Linked DNA regions of Tribolium castaneum. Each later gene encodes a partner of the first gene's protein in a complex. Links are inferred from orthologs where the notes say so. Each region holds a gene or a part of one and is shown in the gene's direction. Other genes may lie near its edges.

Region 1 (6,693 bases):
GCCTCATACCTATAGGGACGAAATGCCGAATCGTATACCTGTCTCTTTCTTTCATTAATTGTAACAGTATTGTGTTTTCCCCCTGACTATAATTTGATCCAGTACAAAAGAATCGCCACATAACAAATATTTCACCGCTAGTTCCATCCATCTGATACAGGACATGAGGCTTCCAAAGCATTATTTTTCACAGCTGTGAGTTCCCAACGGGTGGGGGGTTCAAATTGACCACTTTTATTTGACTAAAGAATTGATTGTAATCCAAACCTTTTTACCAACGATGGCAATCAAAATTTTTCTCATAAATTCTGCTCCACTTTGGGGGCATTCTCACACGTTTTCGTGAAAACCAGGCGATGCGTTACGACCATATGGCCCTAAATGGCGCAAATTGACCCTCAAAGCATCACCATATGTGTTTTGTGAACTATGACTTTTGTGGGAACACGTTACGTAATCAATTAAAGAAAAAAAAACGGAAGTTGTAATTCTGTTTCTGTGTTTCCAGGAAGACGAAAAAGTGATCGAATTGGTGAATAAATACGGAGCGAAGAAATGGACCTTGATTGCGCGTCACCTGAAGGGCCGTATCGGCAAACAGTGTCGGGAGCGATGGCACAACCACCTCAACCCCAAAATAAAAAAGAGCGCTTGGACGGAGAACGAAGACACGATTATCTACCAAGCGCACAAGGTTTTGGGCAACCAGTGGGCCAAAATCGCCAAACTGTTGCCCGGAAGGACGGACAATGCCATCAAAAACCACTGGAACTCCACCATGCGGCGGAGGTACGAGACCGAGAACCGCCAAGACGGGGAGACGCGCCGTGGGAGAGCCAGAAAGAACCAAACAAAACAAGCAGACATTCTGGCCTTTCAGTACCAGAACCACCAAGTTGTGACCATTGATAATTGTGATAGTCGCAGTGTCAACCAGGATAATCTGATTATCAATGATGTGAGCACGCGGGATTGCGTTACGACCGGTTATTTTATTTTAATGTTAATTGCAGGAATGGACTTTGGAGACGTACGACCATGGAAGCAACCAGTCCAGCACAGGCGGTTTCTCTCTGACGGCCACCCCCAGTCCAGGTCCTCTGACCCCCAGCCATACGGTCGTCAGCTTTTCCTCCTCGCCTCCACCCTCCACGACCTCAGTTAAAGCAGATTTGCCATCATACAGCTACCTTGATGTAAATACGTACAACAACCAAACTAGTCCCGTGAAACTAACACCAATGACTGACGATTTTGACCTGAAATACTGTACCCCGAGTGGAATAAACCCACTGAGGGATTTCTCCGAAAGTCGCCACTTTATCAAGTCACGTAAGTTGGTCAAGTGTCAGAAAAACGTCATTTCTAGCTTGCTTGCAGGCCTGACACCGCCGAACCTCAACCAAAACACTTTAGTACCTGCTGAAAATATGACCCGAGCCTCCACTCCTCCCATCCTGCGACGGGGTGCCAAGTCGAGGCGAAGAAGGGAGAGTGAAGGCCAGGATATCATGTCGGACTGCGCTGAAGATCGGGTAAGAATCAAAGGACATCAAACCCAATTTCTAGCTAATTATGGTTATTCGTTGAATGGCCAGATCTATTTCATAACACAAAAACATAAACTAAAAATAATAAGAGAAATAGTTATAAACTGAACAATTGCATCTGATAAAGCAAAACTCTGTGCTATTGAAGGTAAAATAGATAGCGATGATAATTTGAAAATAATTAGATAATTATGTGCGAAATACCACTTTCGAAGATAAGACCTCTGTGCCTTCTAATAAACGATTTAAACCGCACATTTACGAAATTTTATTTTGGCTTCACCAGCGACAAACAAATCATCAGTTAGATATTTAACAACTGTTTTTTTATTTGTTAAATGAAAAAAATGTTTCATCATTCTTTTGTTAGTTATTATAATAAGGCAATAAATTGACTTGAATATGATGGTTTAAGTAGTGATATCTAGTACAAAAACTGTGTAAATTTATTCAGAGATATAATTAAATTAAGGCACAGTCGCATAAAAAAAGAGCAAGAGATGTGTAATCTTTTTTTTCTGAAAGAAGCAATAAAATGGGAACGGTTCCATCTTATGGAAATTTAATGACCACTCAAATCCAATTTTTTTTATACCAATCGATAGCTTTTATCGAAATAATGAGCAATTCGTACCTTTGCAAACTTTGTAACTTTTTTAATAAAGGCAGAATTAATGATTGGAAAATTAAAAACGGTAAATGCAAATTGCATTGGAGCAAAAAAAAAACAGAGGAGGGGAAGTTTGAGAGTCTATAAGTCATCAAAGTTGGTTGTGGCTGTGAGGTTTTTTGATTTCAAAATTAAATAATTGTTTATGATGACGGGTTGTAGAAAAAATAAAATATGCAGCTCGCTTTTAATGGCCATGTTTTTAATATTTGGGCATAATTCAGTTGATTACAGTCCATTGTTATTTTGTAGAACATCGACGAATTTGCGTCTATGTTGGGCTACAGCACGAAACCAACCAACAACAATGGCACCTCCCCGATAAAACAGTTGCCGTTCAGCCCTTCACAGTTCTTCAACAGTCCTGGCTTTTTAGAGATGCCTTTATCCTCAACGCCCGTCAAGAGATTCCCGACGACACCATTGAAAGATCGATCGTTAAAACCTGTACGAAACATTCAACTCGTCTTCTGACCACAATATTTAATTTTTTTCTTATAGGACTACAGTCCCTTGAGCACCCCCAACGGTCTTTCAGTCAAGGTGGAAATGCTGAGTTCCACAACCGACCCAACGGTGACACCCAGCAAGCGCTCGTTCCAAAGTATGGACACGCCCCGTACCCCAACGCCCTTCAAGAAGGCCTTAGCCGACTTGGAGAAGAAGTCCGGCCCTATAACGCACCTCCCAGACACGCCAACTCGTCTGGAAGACATCACGGAAATCATGAAGAAGGACCAAGATATCAGTTCGAATTACGAAACCGACACCAGTCTGATGATTACAGTAATTTAGTCACAGTTTAATGTGGTGTTTTTTATTGATGTGTGCTTGACTTTTAGAATGATAGTGGTTACATGACGGGGAAGAGAAAAAATGGGAACGGGCTCGCTGAAGGCAAGGAAAACGTTCTTCCGAATAAGCGAGTGCGGAAGGCTTTGGCGCCGTCTTGGGCCTCCACCTCGTCGCAGGATATGTCGTCGTTCGCTGTGGAAACTCCCGTAAGTTGCGATTTTTGCGAATCAAATTTTCGACATTGTACTAATTGTCTGGTTTTAGAGTAAATCGTTGGGCGACGATCCCTCAGCTCTGTTCTCCACGCCGTCTTCGATAATGAAAGACTCTTTGGGAGTGACCGGACTGATGGATTTTGCTCAGTCAGGATCATCCAAGGTACATGGATGGTTTCATTTCGGAGATAATTTATTCCCCTCCTAATCCTGCCCCCTTTTTGTTGAGTTAACAATCCTGTACCTGTTCCCATGGTCCCTTATTAACATGTGTCTGGGATTAATCGCTTCGAAATTCTATTTTTCTTCGATTTTTAGGTCTAGGTTGTAGTTCTTTTTTTTTGTACATTTACTTGTTTTTATTTTTTATTGGCCACATTTTGTTTGGAAAATTTCTTAGTCTAGTGACAAAACCAATCTTGCATGTACCGTGAGTCGTACCTACACTTCACCTTCTAGTCTATGCCAACTTAAAAGTTGCGCATAAAGTCACCAAAGTCCATGATTACCATTCCTCTTTTTGTTCTTCAGTCAGCTTTTGCCATCGCACAGAGAACGCAAGTATTGTCACACTATCAGGGGCCGGTCGCGCTGACACAACCGACGGGGTTAAACCTCGGTCACGTGGTTATGTCGGCTGAGACTCGGAAATGTTCTTTAACAAGGCAACTGATTTATTATTATGACATTTGTGTCTTTAAATATTTATTTTGATTGTTAATTGTGTTGTTATTACGGTTTGAAGAAAATGCGAAGCATAAATGCAACAATGAACAAAGTTTAGCGTTACCAGAATAGTCACGCCCGGTTGTTTTTAATTATTACTAAGATATTGTGTAGATAGAGCACTTGAGTACTTAAGTAAGTAGTGTTGTTGCACAGAGAATCCACGCATTTTCTCCTAGTTTTTAAGAAATTAAGTTGCTCCTCTTTCGCGGGGGCTCTTTGGGGGTGTTAATGCTAGGCTTGGGGAATCAGCATGTGGTCGTTTGTGTGGTGGTATTGTAGCTTTTTTATCCTTGTCCCGGCAGCGCCTGCCATCTGCCAGTGCCCCCTCCCGCGCCCCTGGTCCACGAAGCACCGCCGCCAAGCGGATCACTTTTGAGGATACTAGGCCCAAAGCTCCAAAGGTGAGCACTCGCCCATTTCCCTCCCTCCACGTCCGCAAAGCGCCGCCTGATAGTAAGGTTCCGTTTTTCTTCCAGATCGAGAAGATGTGGGCCATGGTTGCGTGCGGCAAGACGCAGGACCAGATCGACCTTACTAAACGAGCACACAATTTTTTAAGAACTACCAGCTTGAAACCTCGTTCTTTAAATTTTTAAGAAAATTTTGTACATATGCGATTCGGTTTACACTTTGTAAATAGAATCTTTTTTACAAATAATTTAGTGCAAACGATTGTATTGTAGATTTGTCGGCTAAATTCAATAAAGCATCACCGGAGTGAGGTTTCGTTTACGGCTTCACTTTACTTCTTTTTAACTACGTGTAATGTATATAGACTTTTCACTGAGTAAATGAAACCTTACTGAACAAAAACCATGTATAGAACTAGTCTACCATTTTTCTTGTATAATTGTTTTCGTAATTATATCTTTTAATATATACAGTTATTAGAAAGGACGCCCAAAGGTTGAAGTTGTAATTTTATTGCCATGGTAGGTCTAGGTCTCTTTCTTGTTGTCCTTTGGGTTGTTTCGCTTATAAAGCATGCTTCAGTTTAATTTTTGCATCTATTTAAAGAATGTGTTTCTGAATTTATATTTATTTTATAATTTTATGTCACTAAATAAAATTGGTACTTTTGTAAGAATACACCGCATCGTTGTTTTTTTCCGCCCCGAACTAAACTTTTCGGAAGTGCCCCGTATTACATAACAGGAAAATCACCAGGTGGCAGCTGGTGTAGTTTTCCGATTGCGTTGGCACCCCTGCTTCAGATGTTTTATGTCAACTCCATGATCGGTACACAAGACGTTCCTAGAAGTGATTTTTGTGGTATTTTCTTAAATTAGAGCAACTTGGAGGCTAAAAAAGCATTAAAATTAGCGTTTTTGGTGCAGTATTGTTGTTGCGTGAGTGGATAGTGTGTCTAATCGTAGGAAAATCGCGAAACTCGCAAGGTCAGAACTAGTGGATAAATCAACATGACTTCATTCATCTCCGGAGTGCATTTGCAGTGAAATCGAGTTTTAGTGATATGGCAGACAGTAAACTGGCAAGCCCCCGTGCTGACACCGCTAGCCCGCCCCCACACTGTGCTATCTGCTTGGGGACGTGCAAAAACAAATGTCGGGCCAATTCCTGCATGCACGAATTTTGCTACAGTTGTTTGTTGGAATGGTCTAGAGTGAGTAAATTTGTAAGATTGCGACATTATTTTCATCGATTGTTCATGTATTTTCACTTGCTGATGGCCCGGTGCACTGAAATAAGAAGTACTACAGCTAGATTATAATTTATTTAGGTACAAAAAATTTCCAGCTCGCAAGAACGAAAAACCTTTAATAGTTTTTGAAAAGTCATCATAATCAGGATCATAGTCTTAAACCGCAATGATGACCTCATGTACTGCCATATCTATGTAAACCCTTTTGTTCAGATAAGTAATACGGAAGTCTTAAAAACCCGTGAAAACCCAATTAACTAACTAAATACGTCGAGATTTAAAAAAGTTGTTGGAATGATAAGAGCAATAAAACAGGGAACGGAAATTTTGAACAGAAAGAGTCGTAAGGAGTGACCCTGTTCTCAAGTTTTTCTACCATAACTTTAAAATATATAGTAAGATGCTTCCTAAAATAGCAAAGGGTGGAGGCACATTTTGTGGTTCCAGTATTAAAAACATTTGATTTTTTAACAGTTCATTGGTTAGTTTTTCGTTCATGTAATATTGAATTCCCTTGCTAATTGAAAACTTTGTTCTGGTCGTCGTTATGTTTCTTTGCTACTTTATACACTGTCGAATATAGGACTTTTCGTAGAGGTTTATTTAATTTTTTGCCATGAAATTGGAGCTTAAATATTATAGTAACTTAATTAATAAACTTCTTTCAATAAGTTGTAACTTCTTGGACTGGGATTGATAAGAAAGGTTCTTAATAAATAAATTTTATTTAAAATAATGTTTTCCTTCCACCCCACAAGTGACAGTGTTCTTATCAGACAAGCTTTAAATCTGAAGGAAATGGATATAGGATCCTTCAAAATTGGCGAATTCCGAGTTCAGAGCGTTGTAGAGAATCACTTTAGTTTTCCAAATAAAGAAAACTATGAAGTTTCGTGGATTTTCCACAAAGATACATTGGTTTGAAGGTGCACTTTTGGAGCACTTTGAATTGCATTTTCTTCAAACACAGACAAAAGATTTCAGTGTTCATTGCTATTTATGGTGTAGATGATTGTGGAAAAATGTAAAACAATTTCTCGAAGAAATTGCTTGATTTCGGAGTAAAAAAAG
Region 2 (7,016 bases), on another chromosome or scaffold:
TCATTTTTAATGGAAGTATGACTGACTGAAGTAAAATGTAATTATCACATGGGCAAACCTGCTGTCCTGAATGAGCCATCTTGAAGCATCCAACCCCTTTTTTCAGTTAATTAACAGACTAACGTCAACTTCCAGCTGTGTTAGCCATCTAAAGGTGGTCCGAGATACACCATTGAAACTTCAGTGTTTCCGTAAACGGCAGAAACTGTTGGATACAATTTTTTATCTGGCAATCCTGAAACACCTCATGAAACACCATCTCGCTCCAAAAAGCGCTTTACCTCTAAAGGCCACTCCCAAAAACTCGTAGTTTTTTTCAAAAGATAGCGTGTTGTCATCACAATCTAAAATCACCCGAATTCGCTCCCCAACCTGCAAAACCCAACTAAGACAAAAACTAAAGTCTGTTTTTTATTTAAACGGAAAACCAACCGCAAAACAACAAATAGCGTCAAAAAATTATAAGTTTTAAAAATTAAAAAGTTGGTCACTTTCTGTTATGCAAGATTAATCTTATTTCAAATTTTAACCAAGAGAAGTAAAGTGTCGAACTTACAAATAGAACTTATACAACACGTACGTACTAATAATGTTAGCAAAAAAGCACTGTTTCTATTTTTTATTAATTTTTAAAACTAAAGGTGGAAAACCATTTTTTTTAATTTTTTGAAATCCCCAAACTAATTTAAAAAAACTAGGTAAAAAGGTATCCTAAAGAGCACGAAAAAAAGCTTGCCATTAAAAAAATATTATGCCCTCATTCTTTTTGGGGACACTCCATATAATCAAAAATATTATCCTAAAATACGTCCTAGATTATAAATAACGTCTACAAAATATCAAAACTTTAACTTTACTAATATGAATTACAATAACATCTTCTGAAATAAACCTGAGTATTTCTAAAATACAGTTGAAAAAGGTGTAGTTTTGGCAAAAGAACTTGCCATTTCCAGTCAAAATAAATAATAAAAAAATTACATAATATAGAGTCTTGGACTTGGTAATTTCCGTTTAAATAAAGAACAGACTGTAGGTGGACCAGCGAACTTACTTGATATTTAGGGGCATTGTTAAGTAGCGGGTAATTGCCTTGAGCATCTCCATTGTGCAGTAAATGATTATCAACTAAGTTCCAGCCCCAACTCTGGTCGTCCGAGCCCAGCAGGGCCACGTAACCGTGACACTGCAGAGGTGCGTCTTTTGTGGCAATTCCTATGACGGCGACCGTCCCCAAGGGCCCTTCCCAGATCACCTCCCAAGCGTGTCTCCCATGTCTAAATCCGATTTTACCTCTCGAAGCGTCCGTGCTTTGAGCTACGGGATTTCGGTGTAACGTGAACCCATTAGGCTTAATATAAATATTTCTAGAGCAGTCGTTCGGATTCCAGGCGTGGTAAAACGCCCGCAATTTCGCTTTATACGTAGGAACTGAAGACAACAAATCTGACTTTAGTGCTTCTTCGGCTAGTTTCCGAATACAGTGCAGCCTCCAAACGTCGTTATTTTCATCATTTAAAAAACTATACCATCTCTTACACACTAAAGAACAGTTCCTCAAATCATGCAGAGACAAATATGAAAAAATTACTTCCAACACATTATCGGGCAATGTTGATGCTACAGCGGCATCCATTTTTGAACGGACCAACCCGTCTGACACTTGACACTTGACAGCGATACCAACCGCTCGAACCGACTGATTGCGATTTCAATAAAATCCGCTTAAATTATTTATAAACACGCGAAATTTGCATTCACGACGTCCAATAACGCGGTTTATTGAGGACGCGAACTGATCTAGAAAAATTCACGTATATAATAGAGGTGGTGTTCAACAAAAAATTAGCGACAGAACAGGACATCTCTAGAAACAGACATCGGCAGAATCAGTCAAATCTAAAAAATCATAAACAGAAGCATTCAAAACACTTTTCGAGTCGAAGTATTGGTTTAGAATCGACACCCAGGACACATTTTCATTTTCAGAAATGTATTTATTTTTACATAATTTTTGTATTTAGCAACAATTTTCATTGTTGTTTTAAAATGTTTAAATTTTCGTTTCTACTAAAATTGATTCGGCACTTTTATTCCTCTGAAGCCGCTTTAGCTTTTCAATAAACTGTTCTTTATATGTTACATGTTCGACAAATCTATATTTCATATGCAATATAAGAATACAAAAAAATAGTTTTACGGCTGTAAAAAACAATCAGCAATAAACATATTTATAAATACAGGGTGTCCGTTTGTCGTTTTTATTTCTGATTTCAACGATGTATCACAAAATATGATCAAATATTACATGCTGATCAAAATGGAGAAAAAGCATTTTTACGAAAATTGCTGATCATTATGTGATACATCGAATTGTTAGCAGAAATAAAAAAACTTTTAAAAAATGCAAGTATCAAATATGGCTAAAGTTGAGTGTCGTAACTCTAACATCAAGAACGTCTTGAAAAAGGCAATGACAGATTTGGATTTAAAAAAAAAATCCCCAAAAAAATATTCTACTTAAAAACGTGTATTTTTTTGGTTTTTGCTTTAAAAAATAAAAACAAAAATTACAAAATATTGATGGGGTCAATTCATAACGGTTTGCGTGTGGGTATGAGCTTCTTTCCTTTGCTATTCATGCTATGATGACTAAAAATTCAGTCAGAAGAGTATGAACAATTAGTATTAAGATCTATAAGAAGATAACAGGTCGAAAAACTACATTACATTTACCATATCCACACGCATACCGTCGTGAATTGACCCATTACAACAAATTTTGAGAGAAAATGTGATGTTGGCATTTTTATGGTTTCGAAACAGGTAATAAATAGTATTTTATAATTATTCTTTTACATTTGTGTTTACCGTATTTACTGACTATTTCGTCATTATAGTGCAAAATAGTATTTTTGCAGTAGCGACACCTAGCGAATACTGCCTTTCTAATAATTTAAGGTTCTGTCTTGCACGTTTCTGTCGATGGCCTGTTCGGTGGGTGCACCTTTCCTGACAGCCGCGTATTATTGAAACTGCATCCCTGGGTGTTTTTTCCGGGGCATTTGCCCGGTGTCAGGGCCTCGTGCGCCCCGTGCGGGGGCCGCAAGGCAAAAAGGCGCCAAAATATTTCGAACGCATCGCTCCCTCGTGCCGCTTGCCCGAACTAGGAGCAGCGTGTCCCACGTGAAGGAATCCAGCCAATGGGAGCGATGCCTTTGTACCCGCCGCCAAGCTGGTAGTGGCTTTCCTTGCACGAAATAGCTCATCTTCAAAAACACCCCCAAGTGTTGTATCGCAAGCAAGCAGTTAAAAAGCGCGAAATTAGCAAATTGCGATATTCGAGGAAACTTCGCGAGTTGTTTAAACCGAATTCGTGGTGCGCGGGGTCCGCCTATTTCAATTCCAAAATATCGCCTAGTTACAGTCGCCATTTTTGTTGGAGTTGGATGGAGAGGAGCTCGGATTTAAAAACCGGTGCTTTTTCGACAGTGTCCCGTTTTTGAGGAAATGTGCTAAAGGGGCGGCGAGTGAGTGTTTCGCACGAGAGGGAAAATGACCCAGCAGAACAGCACAACCAACTGGGTGATCCAGGGAGCCAATGGTAATTTTTAAAGGGTTCGGGGGTTTTTCCAAAACGGGGGCCCACAACGAAGTGGTGCGGGGGCAAACAGTTGCCGGTTGGGGGGCTGGGCGGGAAAGGACCGAGTTTCGGGGGAAACCGCCTCGATGTGGGAGGAAAAGCGGGTTCAGTGCACGTGTTTTATTCGTTTTTTCTGTAACAGGGCAGATGATTAAGGTGGTCCAGCCCAGTGGAAAGCCCATAAGTGGCATTGTGACCTCGGTGGCAGGGCAGCCCATGAAGATTTTCAAATCGCCGAACAGCCAGGAACCGCTCCAGGTATTCCACTCGTTCCCCCCTAAATTAATTTGTTTGTAGTTCGTTAAAGATAAGACGGATTTGTTTACATCTATTCCTAAGTTTTCGAACGATTGATCGAATTTTTATCTCGGGGTAATTGCACAATTCATTCATCTCTTTCATCTTTCTTGCATGTCTTTGCCTATTTTCGACTACTTCTGTTTTTGTTTCTAATTTATCTTGACCATAATTATCGCGTGTTTGTGTGGAGGTAGATCAGTATCGCCACGCATTTGTAATGGTTTCGTGAATTTTATTGGATCACAAAAGCAGTTAAACTCATAAGGTTGCGTCATTGAAGAAAAACCGAGCTTTTTACCTCTTGTAAGTTAAATATTTTAGATTGTTTTGTCGGAAACCGGTTCTCAGACCCCACCTTCAGTCACCCCTTTTTCTCTTAATAGGTACAGCAATATCTCAATAGTCCGAAGCTTTTCTCGTCCGAATAGGTTTTTAGATTAACACAAAAATCATAATTATTAGATAAATTATCGAGTGTTATCAACGCCAGTAACAAAACTAGTCGATTTAAACACTTTCTTGTCCTGTCCCTGTAATTGGATTAATCTACATCATTATTATTTCAAGGGAGTTATTAATTTCCACTACTAACTATTTTTATACTTGTGTGCTTACTAAAGCTTCCACGTTTCTTCTGATTGTAAACATAATTACTATGTTGCTACTGGTAATCCGAATTTTTTTGTAGTCCGAATCACCTTCGGATTAACGAAGTGTTACTGTACTATACAGTGTGTCCACTGTCCACCGCGCCCGGCTATTTTGAAGATGAATGGTTTTTCAAGTTTTGCTCAATATTTACCACGCGTCTGCGCATTTTCCACATCCAGTTTATTTTATGTATAACTTAAGAGTTCTTAAAAACTACTTTTCCGTTTTTTAGTACGTTTCACTTTATTATCGATAATGATTATTCAAATTGCTTTATTGAAGACGAGCTCATTAAAACAGCGGAGATAATTATGATTCTAGTCACAGGACAAAAAACGTCTACTTCTAATTATCTTGACCGTGGCTATCGGCAATTGCATTAATTTTTAATTAATAGTGGCCCCATAAAATATACATATCTGTCGCTATCAGATTAGCATCGCTATTGATTGCTACGTTCTTAACAAACGTTTGTTCTTTGATATCCCGTCAATAAAATTCCTAATGGAACTAGTGCGACATGGCAGATAATACCTATCATAAATCTGATCTTCCCATTAACCTGTTGAGGTATCCTTGAACCTGAGTTGAGACACTGCCAGTCTGCGATCACGATTTTTCCCAATCAAAATCGCTGGGACATTACAATCCAAGACCATGTTTGGGGCACACGTGTTTGATTATTTATTTACATAAAAAGCTTCAGGAGTTACTGTCGTGTTTGTTATTTCTGCTTGAATTGGGAATCCTGTTTGTGACAACTTTTTTGGCCCATTCTTGGATGTAAAAACGCGTTATGACTTCAGTTGCTTTAACGCGTAAAATTAATTCCTTTTGTTAAAGGGCAAAAGGTTCTTTCATACTGCGAAATAACGGCTTTTTGCGTTACTACAGTCCTTAATCTTTGCGATACATCATCCACGAAGGCACGCAACGGTTTCAAAGTTTCAAGCTTTATAACTTTTAACAACCTCAACTTTTATACATTATCGTCGATAAACGAAACAGGCTTAAAAATTATATCGAGATATTTTTAACCGGTGGTTAGTTGAATTCATTCGTGCGATTAGGTTTTCACATTGCATCAGTTTCTAGTGTTTTTACGTAAATGATTACTGTATGGATTTTTTACATAATTTAGATGGTAGTGGATATAATTTAACTTTGGACTTACTTTTTTTTACATTTACGCTTGTTTATATGCTATTTTAAGTAAGATCATTGTTGCACCTTTCATCCTAATTCGGTAGCAATAAATTTACGACTTTGATAACAGATAAGGTTTTCCTAGGTATAAAAAACCCTAGATAACAGTGTTCATGTCTGTTTTTAAGCCGAACGCATAAAGTGTAAATAAGTATTTTCGTGGATAGACTGGCAATATTTTCTTGATTGCTTTCAAGCTTTTACAGATAAAGCCAACCCACGATTAATGTAGATAACAAATGTGTTGTATTTAATCTCACCACAACACAAATTGCCACAAACCGGAGCGAAATTATAAATAAGGCTTTAGGTATTTGATTGGTTTTGTGTTGAAATAGCAACAAAATATCCTGATAGAGATCGTGTCAAAAAAATTCGAAGAAGTCATTTGTGGCTTCCCAAGGACACGATCGCGTGATGATTGTCACACCTTTAATCCAGTTTACAATATTTTTAATTTAATCCAACGTCACACTCTTCCTTGCAATTATCGCTTTGTTATTATACCCTCCTACATCGACGCCCACTTTCATCACCTAATTGTTTATCCATTAAAATATGTACACGTTTAAAACACTGCTTCTCCCTGTAGGTGTATGGCACTACAGGTTCGTCGCAACAAATCATAAGAACAATAGCAACGACTCCAAAATTCGTAACAACAAGTAAGCTAATTAGAGTTTGCGGTTCACCGATTTTTATTAAATTTTTTAGAAGGTAGCACGCTTCAGGTCAGTGGAATCCCGAAAGGAACGAAAACATTTCGTTTAACGCCGACTCAAATGGTAGAGAGTTAAATGTCTTGCGAGCATTTGTAACAAGTTGATATTTTTAGCAAAGTATAAAATTTGTTACGCAAAATAACCAGAAACTGCAACTTAGCCAAAATGCAACGGCAATACCAATTGTACAACAAACACACACAGTCCAAAACAAGAACAATTCGCCGCCGATTCTGCAAAGAAAAAGGGCCGATCCGATTGAGCTAGATTTCGTACACGATTCGTAAGTTTACTGTTTTTTTTTTTTATTATTTTTTTCTCTTTATGCTTTGTGTTAGAAAACGAAGCAGAAAGTCGGAAAAGGTCGGCAAAGGCCTGCGCCACTTCTCGATGAAAGTTTGCGAAAAGGTGAGGAAAAAAGGCAAAACGACGTACAATGAAGTGGCAGATGAGTTAGTAGGGGAATTCACGAGCGCATCCAGCAATAACTCATT

What was found.
Region 2: Myb (region 1) and Dp share a complex: the UniProt entries of both Drosophila melanogaster proteins name them as parts of the DREAM complex. The link is inferred for Tribolium castaneum from reciprocal best matches to the Drosophila melanogaster genes Myb and Dp.

Annotation. Positions count from the first base shown.
Region 1 is NC_087396.1:14,746,839-14,753,531, forward strand, and holds the end of Myb (myb-related protein B), read left to right. Parts: intron 1-508; coding exon 509-958; intron 959-1,013; coding exon 1,014-1,332; intron 1,333-1,380; coding exon 1,381-1,535; intron 1,536-2,472; coding exon 2,473-2,667; intron 2,668-2,721; coding exon 2,722-3,006; intron 3,007-3,062; coding exon 3,063-3,221; intron 3,222-3,279; coding exon 3,280-3,393; intron 3,394-4,261; coding exon 4,262-4,360; intron 4,361-4,435; coding exon 4,436-4,555; 3' UTR 4,556-5,048; downstream 5,049-6,693. Other genes in the region: E3 ubiquitin-protein ligase Topors, read left to right, coding at 5,434-5,583. UniProt on the Drosophila melanogaster protein: DNA-binding protein that specifically recognizes the sequence 5'-YAAC[GT]G-3'. Component of the DREAM complex, a multiprotein complex that can both act as a transcription activator or repressor depending on the context.
Region 2 is NC_087398.1:7,906,272-7,913,287, forward strand, and holds the start of Dp (transcription factor Dp-1), read left to right. Parts: upstream 1-3,205; 5' UTR 3,206-3,555; coding exon 3,556-3,604; exon of another isoform or gene 3,605-3,785; coding exon 3,786-3,901; exon of another isoform or gene 3,902-3,920; intron 3,921-5,768; exon of another isoform or gene 5,769-5,916; intron 5,917-6,392; coding exon 6,393-6,465; intron 6,466-6,514; coding exon 6,515-6,585; intron 6,586-6,635; coding exon 6,636-6,805; intron 6,806-6,860; coding exon 6,861-7,016. Other genes in the region: Fsn (F-box/SPRY domain-containing protein 1), read right to left, coding at 141-235, 282-372, 1,055-1,636. UniProt on the Drosophila melanogaster protein: Component of the DREAM complex, a multiprotein complex that can both act as a transcription activator or repressor depending on the context. In follicle cells, the complex plays a central role in the site-specific DNA replication at the chorion loci.